Lonchura striata: one gene and its partners. The protein of the gene in region 1 purifies or fractionates together with the protein of each later gene. This does not show direct contact. Links are inferred from orthologs where the notes say so. Each region holds a gene or a part of one and is shown on either strand. Other genes may lie near its edges. The genes, in order: CUL5, ASB7, SOCS6 and COPS8.

Region 1 (7,396 bases):
CAGCAGTTCTCCACAACTCTGTGCTTGTGTGAGGAACAATGGCCACATTCTGCCTAATACATGCCATGTGTTTCTGTGTCCCAGGAGGAATCTGGCCTCAACAAAAAACCTCCTGCAGGTTCTGCCTGCAAATAGTTGCTCTGCACCACCCCACACCATCCTCAATGACACTCAGGATAAAAAGTGTAAGGTTTTTCAGCAAGGAAACTATGAGGTAATAGTACTGTTGTCTAAAAATTACATCAGAGAAAAACAAACATCAGGGAGAGAGGTTATTTAAGCTAAAGGACAATGCTGGCATGAGAACAAAGGGGTCCAACTGAGATGCACAGGATAGGTGATTCTGGTGATGCTAAAATAGCAAAGCCTTGGGCTGCTTTAAGTGAAAGCAACAATAGTCTTTACTGTCGCATGCAGGCAATTTCTGCAGAATGCCATTGTTATTAACAGAAAAGGTGATGTGAAGCCCAGATAGAAAACACCAGAAGTGTTTGCTTACCTGTTGAAATGGAAACAAACACAGAAGTCTGGTCACTGACAGTGCTTCTTTTTTCAGCTATAGGTAGATATCTGAGTGTTCTTGCCCTTTTAAAAGGATTGTCTTTAGTCACTCACAGTACGTTTTGTGCATGGGTTCGTTGTGACAATCCACAGCAGTGATAAACAAGAATTTCCAATTGAAAGAAAAACTAAGTCTTAGTATCCCTACTGAATATAACTAGATTGATGGGAGAAGAGTTTAAAATGGACTAATCAACCATCACATTTTTCCCTTCATGAACTAAGATTAGAAGAAACTATTTTCATCTTACTGGTTTCAGGTCATTAGAACAGATCATAGAAATACATATTCCTCTCTGATGCAACTCATTCAAAGCTTGGAATCACTGTACTCCAAAATATATAGAATATTATGATGATATGAGTTTCACTCATCATCCAAATCTTAATGAGCTGTTCCTTGCAAATCACTTTGAAGCAGTGCATGTCTGGGATTGTGATTCCCTCTGCCTTTTACAATCCATGCAAAGGATTAAAACTGTAGACCAGTGTAGTACCAATCAGTAATTAATATCTTCATTAACAGCAGAATTGAATAATAATCCATCTGTAATAGAATTAAAGTAAATAAAACAATATTGTGTAACACTGAGCACTGCAGAAACACCCTGAAGTGGTACTAACATCCTACAAATCCTTAAGATTCACAGATGTCTTTGCTTCCCAGAAAATTCGTGTACAGATCTTCAGGGGGAAAAAACCCAAACAATTACAGTCATTGTATAAACCATGTAAAATGAGATACTCACTATTTTCAATATCAGTAAAAAGTACCAGCATTTCCTTGTCTCTCTGCTTCTCAGATGTTCAAGTTCTCTTTATTCCTTGGCTAACCTATTTATAAGTATTTCACAAGAGCATATTGGGGCAGGATGCACAAACTCTCATACCCAGAACAGTCACTGCTGACCCATCCAGGCTAGCAGCGTGTTACACGATATCTGTCAGGTGCCTAAGGGGACTTAGACCAGACCATGAAAAGTACACTGGTGCTATTGAATTCTGTGTACTCACACATTTTTGCGCCAACACTTGGTAAGTTTGGATGCAATAAAGAAACAGTTGGAATAAAACAATTAAAATTAAATAGAATTATTAGAAATAAGCAATCACAATAGAATATGATGATCTCATTTTGAATAACTGTATCCAACAAAACAATGGAATTGACAAAACTGATTTGTTTTTTTAATATAACAATTGAATAACACGATTAATGAATTGAAATAAACAGATCAGAATAAAACTATTGAAATAAAACAATTGGAATATTTTTAATTTAACAATTGAATAAAAAATTAATCTAAATAAATCAGAATAAAACTATTGAAATAAAACAATTAGAATAAAATAATTGAAATAGCAACTTTTAACCTAGTTCAGATTTAAATGAGAATAATTGAAAATCAGATAATTGAAATAGAATGAAATAATTAGTAGAATTGAAACAGAATAACTGAAATAGAATAATTTAAATCACACCTGTCAAATTTAAATAATTAAATTGAATTATTGGAATTAAATAATTAAACAAATTTTGTTAAGTAGAACAATTGAATAAAATAATTAAATAATTAAATTGAATTATTGGAATTAAATAATTAAATTGGACAAATTTAGTCTAGTAAAACAATTCTAAAACAATTGATAAACAATTAAAATGTAGAATTAAATTTTAAAATGTAGAATTTTAAATGTAGAATTAAATTTTAAAAATTTAAATTAAAATGTAGAATTAAAATTGATAAAACAATTAAAATGTAGAATCAAAATAAAACTAAACTATTAGAATACCATATGAATCTAACAGAAACAACTAAATAAAACAATCTGAATAGATTACAATAAAAAGATCAAACAAAATTTAACTATTAATGATCCAAAATGCCAAATTGGAATTCTCGCAATTGAAATAAATACAATGAACAAAAAAAATTAAATAATCCAATAAAACAAACAATCTTTAGAGACAAAAAACAATAAAAGAACTCACTATAACTGACAACAAGATTCCAATCACAACTAAGTCACACATATAAATAAATTGTATTTCTTATAATTTAATGATAAGGACCACAAACTTAAGCACAGCTAACAAGACGGCCACCAGGGCCCTCTGTCAGTCTTAGACCCCCCTTGGTCCACCTCCTTCTGTATCAATCAATGCCTGCCTGTTACGGCTCCCCCTCCCTTTCAGCCCAGTCACAAAATGGGTCCTCTGAGCCACCACTGATTCGCACTCAAAATGGCACCTCAGAGCTGTCAGCACCACTCACCCCAAAATTAAAATTAAACTTTTTACTTATTCCAAAAAAATAGTTAGTACCAACTAAATGAAAGTAGTCTTGAACTCAAACATAAAAATTAGCAGCTTATAAATTTTAATACCTCTGCTTTCAAACTAACAGTACAATATGCAGAAATTCTCTCTCTCTAACTAAATGCTTTTAAATTCACTTTCCCTGTCTGGTGAGTGGTCTGGGGACTCTTGGCCACCATCCATCCCAGAACCTCACTATACTGGTGCTCCCACCTTCCACACTCACACAATTAACTCGGCTGGAAACAGTTAAACAATAACCATTTGTATCCCAAATAATCAGTATCTAAAAAGCAATTATACCAACAAATTACATCCAGGTAGTCCTGGACTCGAAAGTAAAAACTACGTAACTGAAGTACCACGTAAAAGAAAAATAGAAATTATAAATTACCTGCCTATGGTAGGTAGGTTCTACTCTCCCTGACCCAGGCTAGGAGGAGATCCCAACCCCCGACTCCAGCTCCTAATGAGCTGAACGGCCTCTCCTAGCTGGCCACTCTCACTTTGAGTCACCAGGCCAGGAGGATCCCCTAACTCCCCTTTCATGGCTGAAACCAGATGCGTCCACCTGCCCAGTCCACCCCGTGCAGGACCAGGTGCGAACACCACCCCGTGCGCCCTGCCATGTGGAGAGTTAGGGTCCTGCCCATACCCCAAGCTGGGACTCCATTCTCCCTGCTACTTAAAAGGAGGACATTCCCTAACCGGTGGCTCCCTGTCATTGTTCCAACCTCCCTGCTCAATCAGGGCCATCCTAGAGCAGAGGATTGTGTCCAGACAGTTCTTGAATTCTCCAGTGAGAGAGACTCCACAACTGCTTTGGGCAATCTGTTCCAGTGCTCGGGCATCTTCACAGTAAAGAAGTTCCTCCTTATGTTCAGGTAGAACTTCCGTGCCCATCGTCTCTCCTTCCAGTTGCTGCGCACCACTGAGAAGAGCCTGGCCATTCTCCTGACACCCTTCCTGCAGATGCTTACACACTTAATAATTCTGTAAATAGAACATTCGTGACATCTGGCACGAAGCGTGGCGGCTTAGCTGGATGGGCGTAGGGCAGGGAATTGGCTTGTCGGCACACGGCTCAGTGCGGGTGGCCGTGCGGGTGTGCCCGCGGTGCTCCCCGATCCCTCCGCCAGGGCGTGCGGAGGTCTGCGCCGCAGCACCCGCAGGGACAGCACGGCGGGACGGCCGGGGCTAGTCAGTCAGTCAGTCAGTCAGTCAGTCAGTCAGTCAGTTAGTTAGTTAGTTAGTTAGTTAGTTAGTTAGTTAGTTAGTAGTCAAGTTGTTTCTGCGCTTGCGGGCCACAGCGCCCCGTCCCGCCGAACGCGGGGCCCCGTGCCGAGCCCCGCCCCGCGGCGCCGGGCGGCGCGGCGGCGGGCCGGCAGGGGGCGCTGCAGGCGGGCCGCGGCCGCGCGGGGCGGCGGGGCCGCTCCCAGCGCCGCATCATGTGGGCCCGGCCCCTTCCATGGAGCCGCGGCCGCCGAGCGCCGCCCGGGCGGACGCTGCCATGAGGCTCTGAGGGCGGCTGCGTGCCGAGCACCCGGCCGGTCCCAGCCGCTGCCGGGCTCCCTGAGCCTCGCCGCGGGACAAGGAAGCCTAACGCTGAGGCCGCCGCCGCTGCTGCCGCTGCCGCCGCGGGTCCGGCCGGGCGGGCGAGCGGCCCGGGGCCATGTAAAGCGGCAGCGGCCGGTGGGAGCCGAGCCGAGCTCGAGCAGAGAAACCGCCGTGGCCGGCCGGGAAGGCCCCGCAGTGGGGATCATGGCGACGTCTAATCTCCTAAAGGTGAGAGCGGAGCCCGGCCGAGTCCTGCGGGAGGAGGGGGGAGGCGGCGGGGCCGGGCGGCCCTGCGCTGGCCGGGCCGGGCAGGGCAGCGGGGCCGGGGGCAGGGCCTGGCGCGGGCCGCGGGTGCCGCTGGCCGGGGTTGCCGCTCCAGGGCCCGCCCGCAGGTGAGCGGCCTTGGGCTGCCGGCCCGGCCCGGCCCCGCCGGCAGCTGCTGCCTGCTGCCGGCCCGCGATCCCTGCCCCCGGCTCTCCCTTCCCAAACACGCCCCGTTGGGAAACACCGCTGCGTCGTGCGGATAGACAGGGCACCGTGTCTTCTCTTTGTTTATTTAAGAAAATCCGGGTGTACGGGAGATGAGTTTTAAGTTAAACAAAGAGTTGGAAAATGTCTTTGCCGAGGGCAGGTGCCGTTATTGGGGTGCCCACCGTGTTCCAGTTTTTTTGTTAACTGCAGTTTTCCTGCAAAGGAGAACTCCCGGAGGCCTTTCACTTACGTTAAGCAGCTTTGCTTTTGTAGTCATATGTTTTCAAGCACTTTCCTGGCGTTTGATGGCAGATGTCAGTCACCCCAGGCTCCTACAGGTTGGAACGGAAGATTTCAGTGGGACAGTCCAGTGTTAGAGTTCAGGACTGCCTGTCCTGATCTTTGTGGTATGTATGAGGAGAAGACTCTGTGTGGCCTTTGAGGCCATGCTAGCACAGGGAAGACGGGCCTACTTGAAACCACTGTTATTAGTGCCTACAGTAAGTGTTTCTAAACCACCAGTTAACTACAGTGCTAAGATAGGCCTAGGGCAGGCTGTCTGCTTGAGGGATTGACAATTGAAGATATATATAAATATAGGCATAAACATATGTTCATTACTGCATGTTATAGTTCAGTATGGTCCTGGAAAAGTGCTGCTTGCATTTTACTAACCTGACCTAATTTGGATGCATAGATTTAGCCTGAATCTGCTGGTTTTATTTATTACTCTGGGACATTCATTGTGAAGAAATGAGAACTAATTTATCCCTTTGTCTCTTCAGGATATTAAAAAAACTCTATATTAAAAAGAAATGTTTAAAAAAAATCTTCCTTGAAATTGAAATTATTTTGAATTCATTCCTGTATAGTTTTATGCCTGTAAGAAGTTGTTAGATATTTAAGCAGATAATACTTCAAAATACTTAAAAATCTAAAACTGAGGAACCTAAGAATACAGGCGAAAAAAATATCTCATAAGAAGAAATATTCTTTTTGTGGAAATGCATGTGTTCAGAGCAGGTCTCAGTTTTATCCACTTGTTAATGTTTTAGATCATCTCTTTTCTGTGCATTTGAGGATTTCTCAAAAGTCCAGCACATGCTCTGATGATACATGTGATGGGATAGCCCACAGCAGATAGGAGAAACATAAGCCGTAAGATTTGTCAGCATTCCACTTCAGCTATTTTGAAAGAGCAGTAAAGAGGCCTTGACTTGGTGCGATGTCCCTTGCCAAACTGAAGTCTTTTTGTTAACTGGTCATGATTTTGCCATTGGCCTTTGAGTCGTCAGTGTTTTATATTGACAATAAGATATATATGTGCAGTGTGTTTAAGGAAAAATGCCGCAGAGATGTCTTGTAAAATAGGCATTTCTGGTCACTCAAAGTGTTACTAAGCATTTAGTTTACTAATTAGTCAGTTTTTCAATGACAATAAAGTATGATTCCCACATTACAGAAGGAAAGATTATGCAGTGATTTGACTTGGTTTATAATGGCAAGATAAACTAGTGTGAGAATTAGAAATAGGTAAGGTGTTTTGTTCCCCAATTCCATTTGTCAGAGTGCTCTCTGAGAAGCAAACTGTTCATTCCAGGTCAGTGTTCCCTGGCAGTGCCTTGTGCCCTCTGAGTCTGTCCAACCTACTTCTGCTTTCATCTTTAAATGGGGAAAAAAACAATGTCTGGGCACAGTAAAAATCCCAGGATAAGGAAGGAGAGGTGTTAAAATCTGAAAGTTTTTTTCATATCTGTTTCAAATAAGCCTGCATAATCAAATCTATGTTGGGTATAGACAGGCCTTAGTTTTGCCAGCATGAGCAGGACCTGAGTATCTTCTTTTGTTTTCCCCCATCCAGCTTTCCGCATAGTTGAGACAATGAAGTGAAATATTCCTTTCTGATTCTATTAACAGATAGTAGCTGAATCGAAATCTGACTGGCCATCATAATTTTTGAGGGTGTCATTTAAACTCCACTAGTGCTTAATTTTCCTAATTGTAAATTCTTTTCTGAAAAGCATATTCTTGGAGAGCCTTCTTTAAATGCAAAATTAGAATGAGCAGTCGTGTTGAATCCTAGTGAGACAGAGCAAACTGTAATGTGATGGAAATGCTTAGTAAGAGCCATTACAGGGTCAGCTGGTGCCTGCCTTACCTGTAGCAGAGCTGCTCTCCCTCGCTGAGGCAGTGGCTTTCTGATAGGTGACCAAGCCATTTCCAGCGGAGTCCCTAGAGTTTTTTGTCTCAACACACATGTGACACTTCTAAAGTGGGATACTTCATTTCAGGGGCCCTGTAGGATTATAACTTGTTCTCTTTGCAGTGATGATACAGTCTAAACCAATTCACCCATGTGACATGAAGACATTTCAGTTTTTCTGAAGTTTGTTGAACAGAAGAGACGTTAGCTTATTGTAGCACAAAGAAAACCTATAGCTGTATCCATGCTGGCAGATCTTGCTATTGTAGGGCCTTACTGGAGCT
Region 2 (7,945 bases), on another chromosome or scaffold:
AAACATAATTATGAAATAAATGTGTGTTCAGGATGCTACTATGGAGACTGCAATACATATTCACTAAATATACAGCAAGTTAAAAAAACCTCAAGTAATTGGGTTATTCAACAAGAGCATACACTAAAGCATTTTATTAACTTCCAAGAGGTTATTATTTATTTTTATCTACTGCATCACCCATCAGATACCAAGGAACTGTAAAACTGATAGTCTAGATCATGGCTTTTTAATATCTGTATTGCAACCTCAAAGACATGATTGTAATCCACACCCACTTTACATTAAATGAGTTTCATAAAATTCCAGATTTTTATATATAAAAACACTCCACACTTCTGTTTACACATCATATCTCTTTACCTTCCATACTCCAGGCTCCTCCTAACACAGCTGACTAAGTTTCTCAGAAAATACAAACACTAGAAAAACTTGGCTGTATAGTCAAATGGAACAACCTGCAGGCACAGGCTCACCAATTCATTTTTTGAGCTGTGAAGTGATGCCACACTCACCTCTTTCTTCAGCTGGAAATACACAAGAGATGCTAAACTTTGTGAGGCCATGTGAGATAACAGCCGATCATCAGAACCAAGCAGGTGAATCTGGAGACAGGTAAAAAAGGAAAAATATCTAAGGCACATCCCTTTTTATTTTTCCTCCTTTCCTAAAAATATCTTTCAGAAGTTACCAATTTTGAGTCAATTTTTGCCTCCTTCAGAAGAAGAATGAAGATTTCACAGTACTTCTGTCTCGTGTGGAGTTCCATTTCCTGGGACTCTGCTTTGGCCAGCATCAGTTTGATCAAGGTGAGCTGGAGCAGCATCACCTCCCGTGGGCAGAACGAGGAGCTCATGTTGGCAAAGCTGTTGGATAAATCATCTGTTGCAGGGACAACACCTGACAAATCAGTGCCCTGATGCCTCCCAACGCCACCAGCAGTAGATGGCAGATGCTGCTGATGACAGGATTCATCTCCTCCTGGTGGCTGCTCCACACACAGATTAATTAAAGAGGAATAATAATGGCTTTCCCTTGCTAGGGGAATGCCTGCCAGGACGTCCTTATACATCTGCTGCAGGAGAGAGATCTTCATGATGAAATCATGCAATATTCCAGAAAATGCTGTGTGGCTTCTCTGATTATTCACTGCAAATCAGCTTCCAAGTCACTTTCATACAGTAAGAGAAATTGAAGCACCACTGGATATTTCTCTTCTAAATTACCTATAAATAAAACATTCTGCTGTTACTTTGCAAGCAACTAGAAAATATAAAGGAACAACACATTTTTAGAGTTAATGCTACCATTATTAAACTTGTTTTGAAAATGCAAATTCAGCTGCACAAAACTGTCTCAGTGAGACATTAAAATGAAAAATTACCATGCTGGGAAGAAGTTCACAGTTCCAGTATTATATTACCAACACCAATGTTCATTAGCTGGAATTAACAAACCCAAAGATAACTATTATTAGGGACTACTTCTAAAGATATGAGAACTTGGATTAAATCTTTCTCTACATTGCTAAACTACTAGAATCTAAATTCTTTTGTGACAGATGCCTCCAAAAACAGGCATAAAATTTCAGCTGCAAATTTTCCTCTGAACTGGAAATGCTCATTGCTCCACTGTGGCTGGAACTGGAAACAGCTCTCAAAAAAATGGAAGCCAAAGGAAGGACAAGTCTTGACTTCTGCACACAGGCTCAAGGTGGGCCAACCTCATTAAGAAGCAATTAAGAAAGTGAAAATTAAAGAATAATTTAAAATCAGAGTGTCAAATTTATTAAGAGCCAATAAAAACATTTAAACATATTCAGGAAAGGTTAAAAAAAAAGTCTTTATCCCCATGTCAATAGAAGACATCTTTCAATCACAGCACTGGAATATTGGCTACAGTTTAAAATGAAGAGCTACTAAGAATTCAAATTTCTGCATCAGGTATGAGCACCTAAGCCCTCAAAATTTTCTGTCCAGTATATAAATGGCCAGACAGATAGCCTGATGATATTAAGGATATTTTTTTTCTGAGAAAATTTGGTTTCTTTTCACCTACATTAAGAATTATGCTCATCTGTAATATTTATCTTTTAGAGCAGTTTTAACATGATCTCTAATCAGATTTCTTTTAATTAAAACCAACAAACTCATTACCTTTATCTATGGTGAAGTTAGGAGTGGAACTAAAGTTGATTATATGAATTTTCATACCTTTTTTACTTGCATGCTTTCTGGATCCCCATATCTAAGTCTGGCATAATCAACCAGGTAGAATTCCAGGCAGAATCCTGCAGCCATACACCTGTAGTTGGCTTTTCTTTAAATAATGCATTTCCCCCTTCTTACCAAAGGAAGAAAACCATTCAGTCTTCAAACCAGCAAGAAATTCTAAAGATCTTCCCATCTATGTAGCAGTTTTACCTGCATATGTCACTAGACCAAGTATTTTAAATTAATTTTAAATTGTTTTTAGCAGAATATTAGAAAACAATGAAATTGTAGAAGTCAGCATATGAGGCATTTAATTGTAGTTTCTAATCTTCACAAGTTTTAAAAACAACATCAAACACTGAAAATGACACCTTCATTTTTACAACCTGATTTTGTCATTGATACTAAAGCATGTATTGACAAAATGGCTTCCCAAAGGCACGAAGGATTGGAGGTAGACCAAGATGTGCTACCCTGACTCATCACTTCTCCCACATCAGGAAGTATTTCCTCCAGAAAAGAAACTAAAATTTGAGAGCATGAAGTTGCCTGCAGGAGTAATCTACAATTCCCTCTGGTGTGGTATTTTTAAAGACATTCGGCAAGGGCTGACCTGAAAACCCCAAAATGTTACAGCATGTTCCTCACCTGATAGAAGCAAGAACCCTTCCCCCATCCTCCACATTTTGCTGGATGTTAAGAATACATCTGGTATTTCAGGCAATAAATTCCCTCTTCATTTGCAGAATCTTTTCAGAATTCTACTTAAGGTGGAAATTTATGACCTGAAAAGGCATAAATTTTTTTCAGAAATCACTCTGAATATTTTATATAGCTATTGTTCCTATCCTTGAGCTTTATTTCTTCCTAAATGACTACCTAATAAAGTAAAATCATCTCAACACATTTACTCCTGTTTTCGAGATCAGCTTGAATTATCACCTTATGTGGTAGAGGAAGAGATCTCATGCACAAATTCACACGATCCAGCAAGGTGGTTAAGGCAGGAGAGATTCAGAACTTTTCTAGGACACCCACTGGGAGATTTCACCTTCACCACACGACGCTGGCTGTGCCTTCCTGGATCCTCCCAGAACACATTTGTGTTCCACCATTAATTTGCAAACTTCACAAAAGCATCTCTAAGATATTTCTCACTCACACATGACAACAGTTCACAAACGTAAGCCATTGAAGGAAATGAAAAGTGAGGGGGCTTATTTTGAAGGCATTTACTTCAAAGAGGGAGAAAATATCAGACAAGGGCTAAATTTGTTTCAGACACAGCATGAGAGTGAAAAGCTCAAAGCTGAAGAGTAAAGAAAAGCAGTGACAAGCTCCAACCCTTATTTGTATTATTTATCTGAGTTACTCCTGACAGCATCTAAAAACCAATTAAGGCAATGCCTCACAGAGCCAGACTCCTGCACAAACAACAAGGAATAGTTCTAAAAACCTTATATATAGACTGATCATGTAAAAGATGGAAAAGAAAACTACGCAGAAAGAAAGAACAAAAAAAAAGCAGGTTTTGTATGTTACTTTCATAATTAAAAATTATTTAAAATCAAAACCAAAGTCAAGTGGAGCTGCAAACAGAATGAGAGAAGAAACTTAAGCTTCTTCACTTATATCTCTGAGTTAAAGTTTAAAAAAAATAAAGCAAGGAAAATGTGCTATCAACAATGTTAATTCAGTCAAATTAGGAAGAAATTGTTCCTTGCAAGGGGTTGAGGCCCTGGCACATGTGCCCAGAGCAGCTGTGGCTGCCCCTGGATCCCTGGGAGTGCCCAAGGCCAGGCTGGACAGGGCTTGGAGCAGCCTGGGATGGTGAAAGGTGTCCCTGCTCATGGCAAAGGATGGAAAGAGATGAGCTTTAAGGCCCTTTTTTTTTCTGGAAAAAATTATCCAAAACCCCATCCTATTTTCATTATAAAATTAGATCTGATGAAGCGAAAGGCTCAGTCTGTGACTTTTGGGTATGAATCGGAAGGCTTTGGATGTCCTTACAATGAAATGACCGTAGTGCTTAAGGAATAAACCACACTTTGGACTCCTTGCACCTGCAGCGACTTCCCGCCCTCAGCCCCGCCCGTCTCCCCCTCAGCCCCTCCCGCCGCCGCCTCATTACCAAAGCCCCGCCCCACAGCCAAACCACGCCCACAGCTCAAAGCTCCGCCCCTCACGGCCGGCCCCGCCTCTCTCGCTCCAGGCCACGCCTCTCGGCCTCCCGCCGCGCACCCGCGGCCGCGCTTAGTCACCCCGAGCCGCGGCGCGCACGGGCCCGCCCCCGCCCCGCCGCCGGGCAGCGCTCGCCCCTCACCCGCTCCCGGAGGACCGCGAGGCCCAAACTCCGCTCGATCACAGCGCCGGAACCGCCGCCACCGCCGCCCCCTGTCGCAAAGTCACCCCCTCCCCCTGACTCCTCCGCGGCTTTACGGCAGCGGGGCGGAGCCGCGGGGCGGGCCCGCCGTCAGCCCGGCGGCCAATGGGGCGCGGCGGCGGCGCGCGGGCGGGGGCGGGCCCGCCGTCAGCCCGGCGGCCAATGGCGGCGCGGCGGCGGCGCGCGGGCGGGGGCGGGGCCGGCGCGGCGGGCGCGGATTGGCCGCGGCGCGGGTCAGTCCCCGCCCGCCGACCCCGCCGCGAGCCGAGGGGGGCGGCCCGGAGCGAAGTGTCCCCGCTCGGCTCGGCCCCCGACCCCCCGCCCGCCGCCGCCGCCAGCGCGGGGGGCGGCCGCGCCCGGGGCCCCCGGCCCGCCCCGCTCCGGCACGCGGGTCCCGCAGGTAACCCCGGCTGCCCCGGGGTCTCTCGCGGCGCGGGGAGGGGGGGGGCGCGACCCCATGGCCTCCCCTCGCCCACACCGGGCAGCCCCTCCGGCGGGTGCGGGGCTGTGAGGGGAGCCCCCGGCGCTCCCCCTGGGAAGGGATGCGCAGCCCCTCACCGCCGCTGCCCGCTCGCCCGGCGGGCTCCGGGCCGCCCCCGGGGCTGCCCGCGGAGCGGGGTCCCCGTCCCCAGCCCCCGGCGGCGGGCCGGGTGCCTTGGCGGCCGCCGGGCCTCGGGGCTGTGCGCCGGGGCTCGGCCGGCTTTTTGTGTGTGTGTGTTTGTGTGTGTGTGTGCGCGGCTGACGGCTCCTGGAGCGTGAACTCCTCTGCGAGGCAGAGGTTTGGTTTCCCAGCAGCTCAGCTTTCTGGGTTACTTCCTGTCCCATTCTTTAGCACTTATCTTTACTTCCATTCCCTGGAGGAGCTGCCTTGACGGGGCAGCGGTCCTGCAGTTATTATCCCTTCAACTCCTTCGTATCCTGAGAGAGTGTCCTCTTTTTCCAGGAGAGATCCCGATTTTGATGAATAACCCCTTTCCTTCCAAATTTGTGAAGGCTCTTCCTATTTTGCCCAGTTGCTGCTTTTGTATTAACCAGTTCTGTTCTTCATTTTTCTCTTTTATGTCATTGTGTGGCTCAGTACTACTTTTATTTTTTTTTTTTTTAGGTTTAAGCTGCCTTAAAGGAGAATTAAAAATAGTGACTCCAAAGAACAAAATAACACAGAAGAGAGAAAGCAGCACTCAAAAAACCCCCAGAAAGGTGATGATTCATTTAGACTCTGAGAGTCATCCTAGACACATGGTTTGGCTGGGATTGGGGCCTCTTGTGTTGTTATGGATTTTAATAGGTAGCATTTGATTTCTTTGTTCTTTTAAAACCTACTTGCTTTGGCTGTTGATCTTTTAAAGTTTGAAAGCTCTGAATCCCATTTGAAGTACAGTTCTTCTTGTAACACTTTATAATTTTCCAAAATTATTCTGCAAATGTTATTTTGATTATGAATTGCTGCTTAATGGGGCTTTTGTGTCTTCATCTCAGGGGTGTCACTTAAGAATACTTGGCTGTAGGTCGTTAAAAGGATCTTTTCTTTAAGTCTTTCCATAAATTTATGGGTTCAGCACTGCTTTTGTTTCAGTTTCAATTCTAAAATCTTTATTGGGCTGGGTGATGGTAATTGCATTACATTGGTTTAGTCATACTTCACTCCTGTGTGGGTCACTTTTTTGTGTGCGTGTTGTAACGGAGCTGCAAAAATTGAAATTAATTTAATTGGATGGTGTCTGCTTACAAGTACTTAACTTTTTGGGCTGAGATCATAGAAGGAGATGATGCTGTTGGGTGCTTAAGGGGAAAAAATCAAAGGAGTCATCAAATCCAATGCTGCTGGTAGGAGGGAGGTTCTGTTTCAGGGGGAGAGCTGTTCGTAGGGAGAATTGTGTGTTTTACGTGGTGAGATGAAGAAATGGATCCTAGGAGAGAGAGTGGGGGGTGAATGATGTCAGTCAGACTTTTTCTGCATCCTGCTGTCAGCGTGCTCCAAAGGATGGAGGCTCTGCGCCTTTTTCTAACGCAGAGTCTGTCTTGAAGCCATTTTAACCTGTTTCAAGTGTAGGTGAGCTTGGTTTTTTGCCTAAGATGCCCTCCCTAGAGGTCCCTCTGATCTGTGTCGTGTTTTCAGAGAGGTCACTGACTGTACCAAAACATTGTTCATTGTTGGCAATCAGTTGTTTTTGAGCATTAGCCTGCAGGAGAAACAGCAGTATTTGTTGCCAGCAGCCTTGGTCAAGGCTGGATCATTTTTCCAATACAGATGTCTTTAGATTAACATAAAAAGTGTTTGCTCTGTGTTGAAAATTAAATAGAAAATTCCTCTGTAACACAAGTGCAACAAATCCTGAGGCACACTTTGGAAGTGCAGGGAGGAAATTTTCCATGTTATTTTGATAACTCGAGAGTAATGGCAGAACATGTGGACATGCCCAGTGTGATTCCAGGGGGGATTTTCCTGCTAATAGGTGAAGCAGATGTGCATCAGTACAGACTTACCAGTGCAGCTATTGCACAGCTGTTTAATCGGAATTTAGTTTATTATAGCCTCTCTTTCCCAACCCACCCAGTGCCTCTCACATCAGGGCTGTAGCTGCTCCAACAGGACACCTCTTGGTGCCAACAGTTCATGGGATCTTTGGGATTTATTCACAACAGGAGACCTAAGTTTTCATTTGATTTGTGAAGTTCCTTCCTAGTGTGAAATGCCAGTGCAGCAAAGTTTGATTCAGATGCAGAGACTGGAATTGAGTTCATAGGAATCAGGGAATTAACTTCAGGCAGAAATTTGCACATGGTTGAACAAGGCACAGAGATCACTGATATCCTGCTCTTGATCCCTGGAAGAAATGCAGAATGTTGCAAATGTAGCAGCCCTTTAGAGAAAGCTTTAATCTTCAGGCTATATGCTCATTTTGGGTTTGTTTTTCCTCATTGTGAATCCTCAACCCTTAAAGGAAATGTGCTGTCTGAAGGATGGTTTTGTTTTGTTCCAGTAATGCTTACAGAATGATATTATCACAGTGAAAATCTTGCTTTGTCCACTAAACAAATCCAACAAATTTTGGATGTCTTGGATTCTTGGATTCTTTTAGGCTGCATTAAATAGAAATATGTATCAAATGTACTTCTAGAGATTGTTGAATGTTGAGATTGTTGATTGTTGAATGACCCAAACTCTGTAAGCAGTACTTGGTTTATCAGCTGTGCTGTGAGAATTAGGGCTGAAGAGACTCCTTTAATGTGGTTTGAACTCACCATTGGTTCCTGATTCTGTCATTCCATGCAGTGTTGGTGTTTGGGTGCTCTAATGGTAGTAAATCATGAATCTTAGCAGTTAACACTTGCTACAAATTAATTA
Region 3 (7,170 bases), on another chromosome or scaffold:
ATAGCAGTACTCTGATTAAAATGTAGCACATAATTTTTATGTATGATAGCTTTTAGTAGCTGTAAGAGGTCTTAATGCCATCTATACCTTTTATTTCAGCAGTACTAGTAAATAATGCAAATTTAACTCCAATCTGAGACAAAAGGTTTGTCTGTGTGAAAGAAACTCCTGTATACTTCACTTCATTTTGGTGGTTTTTTTTTGGGTTTTTTTTTTTTTTTTTTTTTTTTTTTTTGTAACAATAGTATTAAAATGGGTGGAGGGGGAACTCCCTCCAAAAAAAAGAAAAAAAACCCACTTTGAAAATATTTACATAAATGAACTTTAATAATAGAAATTGAATTTATCAACAGAAAATGTGCAAGAACCTAAGAGAAACTAAAGTGGAGCAAACAACCTACAATGTCTGAAAACCATATGTGATGATGTGATATATGGGGACTTCTAATACATATTATAACATAGGAATATAAATATACTATATTATCTAAAAATACAAATAAAGGAATACATAAATTCACATAATAAAAAAGGAGAACAGGAATTTTAAAACCATAAAATTAGGCCACAGTTACAAAAAATGATCAGCAATTTAGTGATTTTGGATATATGGCTTTCCTTAAAAGCATATGTTTTTTCAAGGCCATCTGAACACTTAAGATCTAAAAATCAAAATCCTATAAAGCATTACAATAATTTAAACATTTCAGTAAAATTACAACAAATTCCCTTTCTGAAATATACTGAACAGGAAAGGAAAGCATTTGGGTGCTTAAAATAAAATCAGAGCTATATGACTGCAAGAACAGTTAGACAAAGGCACTAACCTCCCACCACAATTCAGGCCAAAGAGCCATGGCCAGGGAAGTTGTAAGAAGGTGATGATAATCTATGCCATTCAGGTAGATAGCAATAAGAAAGAAATAGATACAATGGACATAACTTTTGGCTTTGTTGTCCGTGAATACTCATAATTTAGGTTTCTGACCTGTCCCTCTGCACTACAGATTTGTATATACACAGTTTGATCTAAAAAAATAATAAAATTATTTATAATCACATTTTTAAGTAAGAGAGAAAAGGCATAAGCATATAAAAATAGAGAGTACATCAATATGCAACCCCTAAGTAATTAAAACTGGGTGTAGAGTTCCTGATTTTAGAACCTCCCAAATATAAAGAAATCAGATGGGAAAAAAATTATTTTCTATTACCAAGACCAAATTTCTAGTTCTTGTAGTTTCAAAAAAGCTAGCAACTGTGAAGCAAGTCTGATAGGTGATACATACAAAGAGCATTGAAACAAGATGCATGAATGTACGAACAGCCCAATTTAGTTCAATATGTGTTTTTAAGCCAAGAAAAACTCAACTGAGTGATCCCGCTTGCATTCTCCTTGTCTGCCATCCAGGATGCAACATCAGTCGCACACTTGTGTGAATTCAGACTTGGTGATAAACTGTTGCTCTCACTAGGATATGGCTGTTTGTTGCCACATTTCCATGGGGAAAAGTCTATCCTAAACTTGAAGCTGTATGTTAAGACTGAGTCAAACCAAGAGCACACTGGTTGCCTATGGAAAAGAAAAAGATGTGAGAAATAAGGCATCGGTTCTCCTTTATGTCACAATTTATTGTTAGGAAAATGAACCTCAATAGATTTTGCCACCTGAGCTGGCTTAGAGAGGACCAATGAGGCCTGGAGTCACTGAAAAAAAGGAAAGGGTGTGCACGGGCAGGAGGAGGGAAGGAGATGGAGAGAAAATGAGAAAGGTGAGTGCTTGGAGTAGTGATGCTAATTTAAGCCATATTTAACATCATCACTACTGAGAAGAATGTTAAGATATGGAAGATTTGGGGGAAAAAGCTACCAAATATTTTGCATTAAGTTTCTTCAACCTTCCTGTTGTCTATCAGTCCCATTTCTGCAAAAAGCTAAGTCCTTTTATTCATAAGACTGATAAGAGAGCACTTTCAGACACATGGAAACCTTTGGTCAACATATGGCCTGGAAAATCTCATCATCCAGACTCAACTGTTTTTTTAGTAGTTTGAGAGACTGTAGAATAAGATTTCTAAGATGATTTTAAAAATTCATCTCATATGCAAGGTAGATCACTGCAAAAGTTGCCTATGGTAAAAGCTCCCTGAAAGCAAAATGAAGGACAAACATTTTAAGCCCAGTTGGCTTCTTCACATACTGCTGCTATTGTCCCACAGCTGCTGCTGAAAAGTTTATACTAAACAAGCTTAAGTTAATACTACATATATGTGTCAAGCACAAATGCCAGCAGAATCCTGAAAGTAATTACTTTTTCAAATGCTTGTATCCCAAGGAAAAAGAAGCCCAAGAAGAAGGTAAGATCATACACACACACAAAGAAAAATTCCTTGTTTCACAAAATGACAGAACTGCACAAAAATTAAATTATTCCCCATTAGAGCCTTGCTTGCTCTCTCTTATTCCCCTTTTTAACTTGGTTGCTAAACTTATAAGTTTATAAGACTTATAACAGGAGAAGAAGGAATGCTCAATGCTGTAAAAAAAAAAAAGTATTTTATTATTTGTTTAATTTTCTTTCTTTGAACACCACTGCCAACCTAGGAAGTAATTTGTATTTTTCATATCTACAATATTGTTTTACAAACAAAAGTTAAAACCCATAAGGTTTCATGTGATCCACTTGAAGTGATTCTTAGCTTTGTTATACCACTGATAATATGTAATCATAATCGTAAAACAAACAGTTCTAATCTAAAACACTTAATTAAAACATAAATCATTCTATTTATAAATTAAAAAGTCAAACCTTATATTTGAGAAAAAACATTCTTTCTGCAACTCTGATTAGTCATCATCTGAAATGGTCACAGCCTGCCAGAAACTGAGGTTGATTCGACACATAAGGAAGCATACGACCCTTGAATGAGACTCAAGGAAAGTATTTAATTCTCTATAAATGCCTGGGATATAAAAATATGAATACAATAAAGGCACACTCGGATCTCAAATACCCTAGGCAGTTAAACAAGTCACTGACCTGAACTCACTAACACCTCAGATCTCCCGGAATTCAAGGAGCATGTGCATGACATCTTGAGTGTCATTGGATACTTCTTAACCTTGAAGTCAGTTGCTTCATAATAAGCCATACAAGTACTCTGTCATGCGACTACATAGGTAAGCAAATTGTGCTTATCTGTGCAAATCTGGTTGTTAATTTGTATCAGTTATATACACTACAAGGAGGAAACTAAGGTAGTATTTTACTAGCTGCTCAGTAAAATAGCAAACACAACTTGCAACAACTTTTCAGTCAGCAAACACAACTTGCAACAACTTTTAAGAGCCGTATCGTCGATAGATTTTAATCCTTCACACCCTGCTTGTTGTTTCCATCAGTCTCACACATCCTAAACTAAGAATTGTTTTCTTGCTCAGGAGTTAGCATTTTATTTTTAAGAAGAGACCGGGGAACAAGCAATCAAAGAAGTCTGCTTGGCTGAAGTTGCTGCAGCACAGCTGGTATGCCTGAAGTTTAGTGTCAATTTCTCGAGGAGATCTGTGAAGCAGAGTGGAGCACAAAAGTAACGCCTGTTCTGGCGCGTCGCTTTCACGTCAAGAGGTGTGAGGGAAGGTGAAGCGGAGGAAAAGATCACCTCCCTGCCTCCCTCTCCCGCTCCCTCTCCAGCGCAAGCGGGCCTGGAGGGGAGCGCCCGTGGCCGGCAGCGGGGGGCGGCCGCGGGACCCCTCTGGCCGGGCGCTACCAGCGAGGGGCTGCCCCCGCCAGAACGACGAGGGGAGGTGGCTCCCTGTGAACTTGGCCGATGAGCTCCTGGAGCCCAGCGCAGCGCTCACACACCGGAGCGCTGGGGGAGAGAGGAAAGGGCCGGGGCTAACAAAGCCAGACCGCCTCCCTGCTGCCACTCCAGCGCGGCTCCCGGCTGCCCCCCGCGGGTTTCCCGCGGCCGCTAAGCGGGAACGAGCCCGGGCGAGGCGCCCAGACCCGAGCAAGGGAAGGGCCGCCGAGGGCTGGTGGAGCCGGCCGGGCGGCAGGGGCGGCCGGGCAGGCGAGGACGGAGCGGGGATGCCTGCGGCCCTCCCGCCGCCGCCGGGCCGTGCGCGGGCGCCGCAGCCGTAGCCGTGCCTGCGGCAGGCGGCGGCCATCGCGGGCTCGCCGCCCCCGTGCGCCCCTCCGAGGACGGAGGGGTGGGGGCAGAGGAGGCGGAGGAAGCGGCGGCGGCGCCAGGAACAGGGAGGCGGCGGCACGGCGAGGGAGGGAGCCGGAGCCGGGCCGGGCCCCGCGAAAGCAACAGCAGAGCCAGCTCCTCCTTCTCCTCCCCCTCGGTGAGTGCCGCTCCGCCACCCCCGGAGGTTGCTCCCCGCCGAGCCCGGGAGCCGGCGCAGGCCGGGCCGCGCCGCCGAGGTGCCCGGGGCGAGGCCCGCGCCGGGAGCGGGACACCGCGGCCTCCGCCGGGTGAGCGTCCCCGGGGCAGCGGGCGCTCCGCGGCCCGGCGCCCCCTCCCCGCGCCGCGGGGCGCGGAGGGCCGGCGCGGTGGAGGGGGAGCCGTGGATTGGGCCGGCGCGGTTCGTCACTTGCCCGCCGCCCTCTTCCCGGGCCGCGGCCCCGGCCTCGGCTCCCTTTGTTTGCTGGGCTCCCCGAGCCCGCGGCGGTGCCAGGCCCTGCGGAGCCACCGGGGCCGCGGCGCGGCCTGCGAGGCGGCCGGGCGGGCGGGAGGGAAGCAGCGCCGGGCCCGGGCCGGCGAGGCGCTGCCCGGCCCCCGCCGTGACAGGAGGGGTCCCGGCCAGCCTCTCGTCCCCGCCAGTCGCCGCAGCGGGGCCCGCCGGGCTCCCGTGCTCCTGCCCTGGGCCGCTGCCCGAATGCACCCCGCGCCTCCTGGTGCCATTGTGGGGGACGGCGGAATTGGGCTGATTTTCCTTCAGCCCGCCGTGAAATCCGCCTTCACTTGAGGCTGGTGTGTCCCCGTCTCCGGCAGGGCGGGTGCCCGGAGGTGGCGATTTGGGCAGCCGGTGTCGGGATTTGTGCGGTGGAGGAGCCCCGGGTTGTTGCGAGGTGAGGGTGCGCCGAGAGCTCCCGAAGGGGCGAGCGAGAGAGGCTCCTTTTTATGACAGACAGCGCTTAAGAACTTGCCTTCAACAAAAGCATTACCAGATCCGCAAAGTTTATTCGCTTTCATTGTTCTTACTCTCTTTCTGTCATGATGCCACTTCTCTTAGAAAACAACTAGTCCATGCCAGCCCGTTTGCTTATGAAAAAAGCCTTTGCAAAACAACGGGGTTTTGAGAAATGCAGAGGATGATGCTTCTGTGATGTGAGGGTACTTTGGCTACGTCTTTCTGTCCTCTTTATTTTTGTCTCCCTATGTTTTCAAAATCATCTTGGTTTGGAACGCAATGTTTTTTTTTCGTGTGGAGTAGGGCACTGCATTACAGTAGTTGCTCATAGAATATGCTTTAGACAGGGAAACTGACTTCCCCTTAAAAAATTCTTGTACCCTTTCACTGTGAGGTCTTAACCACTCTTTCCTACAGGCCAGGAATGTTTATGCCGTGTCTATCCTCTCAATACACCTGTAGTTAAAAAATGCCTGCTGCAGGCCTCCTGTCTTGGAGTGCTGCTGTCTGCACAAGTACTCCAGGAATAATGCATCTGCATTTCTTCTATGGGTGGAATAAAGTAGAACTGGTTCTGTTTCTAGTTTCTGTTTGTGCTAATAGACACATCTTTGGATTGTAGAAAATAGGGAAGCTTTGGTGCGATTATGAAACAAATTACTTAGCTTGGCTGGAAGACCCTAAACAGCTAGAGAATGTGTAGGTATTTTTTGAGTCTTCTGCAATAAGATAGTAGTCATAATGCACAGTTTTATGTGTAACTTAAGAAAGACAATTTCAGCTTTTGCAAAATGCAGTTTTTTGATGTGTTAAACCCCCATCAAGTACTGTTTTCACTTCCTATTTGATATTTCTTGGGTTTCTGGCATTACACTGTGTTTGGAACTGAGCTTTTACTTGAAACCAGGTTCACTTCTTGTATGCTTAATTAGGGATGTATTCCCTATATCCCAAGTTTTGAGATTTAAATAAATTTTTTAAAAGATAAAATTAAATTAAATAAGTGATAACAGTGTATTGTTATACAGACATACCCATATTAGCTAACTTCTTGGATTAGCTGCAAGGGTATGGAGTATTTAGCAAGAAGCTCTGTGTTGTTTCCAGGGGCTTCATGAGCATCACTTTAATGCACTGCATGTATTGCAGCATCCAAGTGTTTGCATAGATTCAGGAGACTTGGTAGCTTCATAAAAACTTGACGTACTGAAATCTAAAAAACATTTGTGTATTAATTTATAATATGCTGTTAACTTCTTTGATCCTAGATTGTGAAGTTGGTCAGTAACCCTGGGTTACTCTTGGAGAGGGATGGTTTGAAGAAATGGTAACTGGTTCTTATTCTGTGAGTAGATTATGATTTCTGACTCTCCTTGGCATAGTGAATTGGTGGAATGGGAGAGTGTAATCTTAACTAGAAGTTGTTCATACAAAGCAAGTTAATTATTTCTGCTCTTTCTTATGATTTTTTTTATAGTCTTAGAGTAATTTGAACATGAACACTTGCAGGACTTCATTTGGTAGGGCTGCCATGAGTACACTATATACTTGCTATGCTATTGTTGGCAGAAGTGGGGCCATAGTCCAGGGTAATCCCTAGCTCGAGTGCCTTTTTTTCCTCTTTCTTTATGGCTCTCTTGGGCCTACGCAGCACTAGTTTGATAGTGTTTGGGTAGTACAATGCAATAACATAAAATAGATAGGAAGGAGACTGTTCTCAGCTGGTGTGTGCCTCAGTGTTTTGTTGATGGGGCTTTAATGTGTGTTAGCAACAAATTAAAAGAGGGTAGCTCAAGCAGTTCTGATGCTCCAAGGAAGAAAATAAGATGCCAATAGCATAAAAGGGAATATAATGCAGATGCTAAAATGTCTTGAGTATAAATTGGATAGGATGAAAAACAGAATAGAGATATCCTATGCCATGTAGCTGTATATTTTGTACTGTAAAGTATTAAACTGAGAGCAAATACAGAACTTTGAGTTTACCCTTTTTTTATGTTTTTTATTTTTCAGAAGAGAAATAATTACATCTGT
Region 4 (7,149 bases), on another chromosome or scaffold:
TCACAGCTTCTTCTACAGGAAGGCCAACAAAGGCTGCAAAATCATCTGCAACTATTGATGTGTAAGCCTGGGAAACCAGTCCAAAGGCTCGTCTCCTGGTTGCATCTAGGGAGAGAGAACACAGGACACAAGAGACTCATCTCCAGAGCTGGGAAAGCTGAGAACATTTCCTCAATTCTACCACCTCTGGAAAATCACTACCAGCCTTCAAGTGAGCATTTCAGGAGTTCCCCCTCCCTTCCCACAGCTCACAGTCAGCAGCAAGAGACAACAGCTTGTTCTCTGCCAGGACAAAGCCCCTCAGAGCCTACACTGAACTTCCAAGCGCAGCCTGCAGCATCCTGGGCTGCACCACCAGCATGTAAAGCACTTCAGGGAACTCTGCATCCTCTGATGGCAATATGCCAGCAATTAGTTACTAATTAGTGGCATCTAAAAAGCAGTTTTAGGGAACCTGTTTTGCAAAACACCTCTTTTTAGCAGTCTGCACTGCCCTCTAGGAGCAAGAATCTGCATGTTACCATTACACAAGATGGAAAACATTTCACTGAAAAACCACTTTCTAAGTCCTACAAGGTTCTGAAATGCCAAGCCAAGTTCCCTGGTTAGAAGTCTGATAAAACTGGGTGATTTATGGTCTGTTTTGCTCTTACAGAACAAACCACATGGTTTATGAAAATCCAGTGTCAAAAAATACACAGAAACAGAATCCTACTAAGACCAATTTACTTGTTTCTACAAGGTTTTGTAGAGCTATTTATTTACACCCGACACCGGAAAACCTTTTAGTAAAACCTACAAAAACTTGGCAACAGTTGTCCTGATTTTTCACAATTGACAATTTGCTTCTGTTGGAGCAGACATAAATAATTCCAGGCAATTCCCTGCTCAGCTTGTACCTCTGAGTGCTTCCATGATTGGCTGGACAGTCTCAGACCACTGATGTGCACTGATTGCTGTGTAGATTCCTGGGAAGTCCCTCTGCCAGATTCTTTGTCCCACTGACCAAACTGCACCAAGTTCAGCATTTGCCTGTTGTGACCAAAAAAAAAAAAAAAAACCACAAAAAAACCAAAAACAAAAGCCAGTATTAATCCAGAAGAAAATCCTTATGCAAAAACCCATTTCCACCCCCATATTTTCAGAGAACATTGCTGTGCAACAAAACCAGCAGGTTTCTGAAGTAAATTTGGCCCAATACTTACAGATTTGATAGCAGGAGGGATTCTTTTCCAGAGATAACGTGCATTATTCCTAAAAATAAATAAATAGAAAGACGAAAAATACTTCTCAGTCACCATATGCAGCAAAAAGACACCACAAGGTTTGTCCAGATGCTATAATGAATATTCTCAGTGCTTTAAAAATATTCTTTCCAGGAAGGAATATTGGATACTGAAGTGGGAAAAGCAGAGCTGCTCTCCAGCAGACAACACTGCACTGCTGTAACACAACCAACAGTTCTTTAATTGCCTCATTTAACACCAGTTTGGGAAAGCAACTTCTCCCCAAAACCTCAAGTTTAGTGCATTAAGTACACCCAGAGACATGGAATAACCCCCCCAAACCAAATTCCCAGGAATTCCTGCAGATTTAGCTCCTTCAAGCCAATAGTAACACTCATGTTTAACAGGGATGGTCCAGAGTTATCCTGCTGGAATTTAAACAGAAGGAACAAATCCAACCCAAAACAAACCAATAAATCCATAATAACCCCAAATCCAACCTAAAACAAATGCAGCCCTGAAGAGCTACAAAACAAATCTCTGAAATGTTTAACACTTCCCAGAGGAGCCAATTTCACCACTGAAGGAACTGCATTCCCAAATTCCCACACAGGAAAGGAGAACAGCTTTCTTGACAGATCAAGGGGTGAAAGAGACTCGATTCTTGGGAATATTGTTATTATTTCTCCATAAAACCAACATTTTTATTAATCCCAGAGCCCATTCCCAACGTGCTGGTGACAAAGCCAGTGCCACAGGCTGGGACAAGCCACTTACATGTCGTTGTGCAGCAGGTACAGAGCCAGCAGCTGGCCATACACCAGGGGTGTGGCAATTCCTCCAGGGGCCTGAAAACACACACACATTCTTGGCTTGCAGATTCTAAAGGGGGATGTGATACAAAACGCAGCACCAAGCCAGGTTTTACATAAACTGAACACTCCCAAGATGACTGAGCTTTATTTATGTTTTTTCTCACATCATGTAACAGGTCTTTGCAATTTTCTAGGGGGGGAATAAATAAGCCTCCATCTTCCTATGCTCATAGGAGTTGCAGCTGTTGAAAGTGAAATTAAATCACCCGCCCACTTCGATTACGTTCAGCTCAGGCCACTCCACCACAGCAAAGCCTCTCCGTCCCTCCCAAGAACCTCGAGTTAAGCTTCGGCCCCTGCCACACCTCAGCAGCGCTCGCAAGGAGGAAATAAAGGAGCGATAAAAAAGGTGAAAAAATTTGAAAGCTGCAAAGATTTCCAATGAGGCTTCGGGCCTTTTATCAAGGGACAACAGACCGTAAAGCAGCACAGAGGGAGCTCCCAGTGAAAGCTGCCACATTAAACTCGTTCTAAGGGTAATTCCACGAGCCTGGCTCAGGGCTGCACTCCCCTGATCGATACCTTCATTTTCTCAGCCACGAGAAGGACGGAAACCCACAAACTCCACCACTCCCTCCATTCCCTCTGAAGCGACGCGAATAATAATACGGAAACACCCATTTATCTGCAAGGTGCTACTTTCCGACGGGCTCTCTGGCGAGCCCAAGGGGCAAGCTCAAACACTGAGCCCTCCCCCGCTCCCACGCACCCTGTCCACCTCCCACGCACGGACACAGACCCCTCCCCGCCCCCCGTCCCGCGGCACCTCCAGCTCCTGCGTCTCGCACTGCTCCAGGAGCCGCCTGAAGCTCGCCGAGCTCTCGGCCATCACCGCCACCGGCATCTTCCCCTCACGGCGCCGCCCGCCCGCAGCGGGCGCCGCGCGATGACGTCACTTCCGCTTCCCCTCCGCGCCTCCCGCCCGCCTCTCGGCGCTCCTGGAGGACCGCGGGGGCGTGACCAATCCGGGGGCGTGACCAATACGGGGCCGTGACCAATCCGAGGGCGTGGCTGGGGCGTGACCAATCCGGGGGCGTGACCAATCCGGGGGCGTGACCAATACGGGGGCGTGACCAATTAGAGGGCGTGGCTGGGGCGTGACCAATCCGGGGGCGTGACCAATCCGGGGGCGTGACCAATCCGGGGCGTGACCAATACGGGGCGTGGCCGAGCCCGTGAGGGGCTGAGGGGGGCGCGCGGCGCCTGAGGGCGGCCGCGGTTACAGCCCTTTAAAATCCCTTTGTTTTCTGTGTGACAAGCCAACTTTCCGCGCCCTATAAAGAAATGAGTGTGCCTGGCGTGCAATACGGTTTTCTCTTCGTATCTGCCGCATTTATGCGCTGCGTGAGGCGGACGCCCTCCATCCCTTATTGCACATCCCTTATTGCATGTACGTAAGGGTTGTTCTCAAGGGGTAGGGAGTGCTTTTCCAGCTCTGTACCTGTTGGTGCTGGGCTTTAGAAGTAGTTTTTACAGTTGGGTTCCTTTATCTTTGTTTCCTGTGAAACCCGCTGCCGGCTGCTGGAGACAGGCCATAGGCATGGAGTACCCTGGGTTAAACACAAGGACCAAGTCCAGCCCTGGCCCTGCACAGACACCTATTCCAGCAATCCCAGCCTTTGCCTTGTCCAAACATTCCTTAAGCCCTGGCAGATTTGGGAATGTCACCATTCCCCGGGGAGCCTGTTCAGAGCTCACGCTTTTCCCAACATGCAGCACCAATATCCTAATCAGTGGTATTGCTGGGGCCGCAGATGTAAATTCATATTTTCAGGGTAAAATCAGCCCGAAGGGCTCATTTTCTGCAAAACTTTCCTTTTCTGGTACAACGGGTTTGCTTTCCATCATCATCCTCCTCTCCATATTCCTTGAACAAAGCCTGACCCCAGCGCTTCCACCATCCTCCATCCCCAGCACTGCCCTAAAAATCATTCCCCAAGCCATTTATCCTTCACGCAGGGAATTTTCCCAAGCCGTGCTCAAGAGCTGCACCACCTCGCTGTGAAACTCGTGAGTCCTCCACACTTTTGGGGTGAAAAAAAGAAGAGTGGGGTAAATCCTGATCCCTTTGCCACGGAGTCCCCGCGCTGCGGGAGAGGTTTTGGCTGTGGAAAAACAAAATTAACGTGTGTTTGTGTTCACTTTAGGATTCGCCTGAGGCACAGCATCTTGGAGGAGGGTCCAGGCGATGGCACTGCTGCTCCGCCGGCTCAGGCATCACTTTCCCGGGAAGCAACCTCTCATCCCGCTGCCGTCCCCGCCAGCCGCATCGATCCCGACGGCCCTTTGTAGCCGCCAGCTCTGTGCCAGCGTCGCTTTGACATTCGGACATCTGAGAGGAGCACTGTCCTCACCTTTTGCTCCCGTTCCCAATTATCTCGTGTTTTCGGGAGGCGAGGAGGGGAGCAAAGAGGGCGGCAGCTTGTGATGATGCCGGTGGGGGACCTTCCCGCGGGGATGGGGTCAGAGCATCCCGGATTGCCACCGGGAACACGTTGAATTGGGAAGGATTCCTCTCCTGGGGGCTGCAATCCCACATCCCGATGCCATCCTCCTTCCCGGTGGGTCCAGGTGGGAAGGCGTGAGCCGGTCCCCGGCACCGCTGGCTGTGTTGGGCCGGGGCAGAATCGCAGCCCCTGACCATGTTCCTGCTCCCCGCCGGGAGATCATTTCATCCGGGGGAAAAAAACCCTGTAAAAATAGAATAGAGGAGAGGTTTCCTCAAGAGGGCACTAGCTGCAAGAGAAACTGCCTAAAAATCCAAGGAAACTGGACGTCCAAACATCCCGCTGTCCCTTCCACCCGAGAGAATCTTTCTATTTGGGGGGAATTAGGGGGTTTTTTGGCTTTTTTTTTTTGTTGTTTTGGTTTTTCGTTGTTGTTGTTGGGTTTTTTTTGTTTCTTTATTTTTTTAACATTTCGTTTTGCTTTTCATTTTTCTTTCGGAACAACAGAAGAAGTGCTGCTTCATGCACTGCTGAGCCAAGCCTCCCAAATGCACCAGCCCCTCTCTGGAAGCAATTCCTTGGCAGGGAATTAGCCAGAACCTACCCTTTTGCAAGCATGTTCTGCATCCTCCCCTCTCTCTTTTCCCCCCTTTTCCAAAGCTATTTAAGGCTGTGGCAACATGTTCAGGGAGGAAACATGCCAGAAGGGAATACTCTTCTTTTTGAGTCACCAAGAAAAAATACAGCAGATTTGTTGTATTTTCAGGGTTGTTATAAATCCGGGAGGTGTGGAAGATGTTCCTGGCGTTGTTTGGAGCCTGACCTCAGTGTGGTGGCATCACCCAGGACCTCTGGACGGTGATGGCAGCTGCCTGAGCCAGCATCTCAGAAAACCACAAGGTCATTTATTTCACTCAGGAATTTCTCCTCAATTCAGACACCAAAAGAAGAGGCCAGACTCATAAAACAGCTGAGCACGTTGGAAAATCTATCCCACTGGCAAAGCTAACCACGTTAAATTAACAGGAAGGCTCCTTGACTTGACAGCATCCTGATTTTTCTTTGGCCCACAGGCTCAAAAAGCACTTAAAGACAGTGGCCGCTGGCTGCTGCAGGAGTGTAAAGTAAGTTTAATGTGATTTTTATTCAGCTCCTGGTGATGATGGCAGGAAAATCTCAGCAACTCGTTTGTGCCTTGCATGAATTTTAAAGCAGGGAGGGAAATGGATCCCAGTTCTGCCATCCTGGACAGACCCAGTAGCTTTCAAAGCAATACCAAGGCATTTCCAAGAAAAATTAACAGACATTTCGTGACAGGGCTTAATTTTCCCAGTTGTTTCCATGTGCTGCTGCCTGTGATCTGGAGGTACCCTCTGGAAAGATGATTGCAAGTGGTTTCCTTTTCTCATCTGCTTCCAAAGCTTTGTAGAGGAACAAAAGACTCGTGGTGGGGAAATTAGGATGCAATGGGGCGATATGGAACAATAGGACAGTAATTTAATGTGAAAGTTAAAGAAAATGGTGCTAAAGGGTCAAGATGAACCTCCCCACGCCCTTCCCATTCCCTCAACAGCCTGACTGGCAATAGCTGGGTTGATCTGAGCAAAGGCTGGATCCAAACACGGAAGGTTATTTCCTTCCATGACATCAAAGGGGAAAATGCCTCGTTTTTAGGAGCTGTGCCCATGAAAGGAAATGGCAAGCGGCTGGTGGGAAATTATCATTGCTTTTTCCCCAAACAAGCTTTTCAATCTATTGCATGTCCATAGGGACGTTGGTTTCAACTCCAATAAACAAGAAGCTATCTGGGATATTTGGGATATTATGGGTTTTTTTTTGTTTGGTTTTTTTTTTTGGTTTTTGGGGGTTTTTTTTGGGTTTTTTTTTTTTTGTGTGTGTTTTTTTTGTTTGTTTGTTTTGCTGACCTCACCCTTGATTTTTCAGCTTACACCCAAGGTCTCAATTCTAGAGGTTTATACTCCAGCACAGTGGTATAAATATCTGGCACATGGTGCCCAGAGAAGCTGTGGCTGCCCCTGGATCCCTGGAAGTGTTCAAGGTCAGATTTGGATGGGGCTTGGAGCAACCTGGGATAGTGGAAGGTGTCCCTGCCCATGGCAGGGGGTGGAACTGGATGGGCTTTAAATAAGGTCCCTTCCAAACCATCCTATAATTCTGTGATTCTATGAAGTAAAAAGAAAAAAAAACAAACCCTAAATCAGAGAGGCTGAGGAGCTTGGAGGATATGTAGGAGACCAAAAAGTGACCAGAGTAGCTGGAAGTGATGAGGCTTTTCCACCCAGCTGTCATTGCCTGTGGGGCTCTGTGTCCTCCTGCTGCTGCTCCGGGGCAAATCTCCCCTAGGGCTGAGATCTGGGGCTGGCTGGGCTCCTTTCTGTCCACCCCAGACACCTCCATCCCCCTCCTCTTGTCTTCTCTGTGAGTAACCAGGAGCGATGGCTCCTGCCACAGGCTCTGGAGGCAAAAGCTGCCCTTTAATTAACCTGCCAAGGGCATAAGAGACCCTCTGTGTATTTAACCTAAACTTTGTTTTTATGACTTTCCAGGCTTGTCTGTGCATTTTCCTGTTTTTGCTTTGTT

What was found.
Region 2: the proteins of CUL5 (region 1) and ASB7 purify together in Homo sapiens (affinity purification with mass spectrometry; 6 studies listed by BioGRID and IntAct, counting the BioPlex papers as one, with this or other methods). This does not show direct contact. The link is inferred for Lonchura striata from reciprocal best matches to the Homo sapiens genes CUL5 and ASB7.
Region 3: the proteins of CUL5 (region 1) and SOCS6 purify together in Homo sapiens (affinity purification with mass spectrometry; 5 studies listed by BioGRID and IntAct, counting the BioPlex papers as one, with this or other methods). This does not show direct contact. The link is inferred for Lonchura striata from reciprocal best matches to the Homo sapiens genes CUL5 and SOCS6.
Region 4: the proteins of CUL5 (region 1) and COPS8 purify together in Homo sapiens (affinity purification with mass spectrometry; 3 studies listed by BioGRID and IntAct, with this or other methods). This does not show direct contact. The link is inferred for Lonchura striata from reciprocal best matches to the Homo sapiens genes CUL5 and COPS8.

Annotation. Positions count from the first base shown.
Region 1 is NC_134604.1:44,393,929-44,401,324, forward strand, and holds the start of CUL5 (cullin-5), read left to right. Parts: upstream 1-4,395; 5' UTR 4,396-4,642; coding exon 4,643-4,666; intron 4,667-7,396. UniProt on the Homo sapiens protein: Core component of multiple cullin-5-RING E3 ubiquitin-protein ligase complexes (ECS complexes, also named CRL5 complexes), which mediate the ubiquitination and subsequent proteasomal degradation of target proteins.
Region 2 is NC_134613.1:21,482,803-21,490,747, forward strand, and holds the start of ASB7 (ankyrin repeat and SOCS box protein 7), read left to right. Parts: upstream 1-4,926; 5' UTR 4,927-4,996; intron 4,997-5,701; 5' UTR 5,702-5,796; intron 5,797-7,945. Other genes in the region: LINS1 (protein Lines homolog 1), read right to left, coding at 516-605, 692-1,096. UniProt on the Homo sapiens protein: Probable substrate-recognition component of a SCF-like ECS (Elongin-Cullin-SOCS-box protein) E3 ubiquitin-protein ligase complex which mediates the ubiquitination and subsequent proteasomal degradation of target proteins.
Region 3 is NC_134603.1:56,548,335-56,555,504, forward strand, and holds the start of SOCS6 (suppressor of cytokine signaling 6), read left to right. Parts: upstream 1-4,152; 5' UTR 4,153-4,347; intron 4,348-4,398; exon of another isoform or gene 4,399-4,477; intron 4,478-5,052; exon of another isoform or gene 5,053-5,074; intron 5,075-6,404; exon of another isoform or gene 6,405-6,481; intron 6,482-7,170. UniProt on the Homo sapiens protein: SOCS family proteins form part of a classical negative feedback system that regulates cytokine signal transduction.
Region 4 is NC_134610.1:38,284,746-38,291,894, reverse strand, and holds the start of COPS8 (COP9 signalosome complex subunit 8), read right to left. Parts: upstream 3,020-7,149; 5' UTR 2,946-3,019; coding exon 2,868-2,945; intron 2,075-2,867; coding exon 2,004-2,074; intron 1,255-2,003; coding exon 1,206-1,254; intron 1,033-1,205; coding exon 900-1,032; intron 106-899; coding exon 1-105. UniProt on the Homo sapiens protein: Component of the COP9 signalosome complex (CSN), a complex involved in various cellular and developmental processes.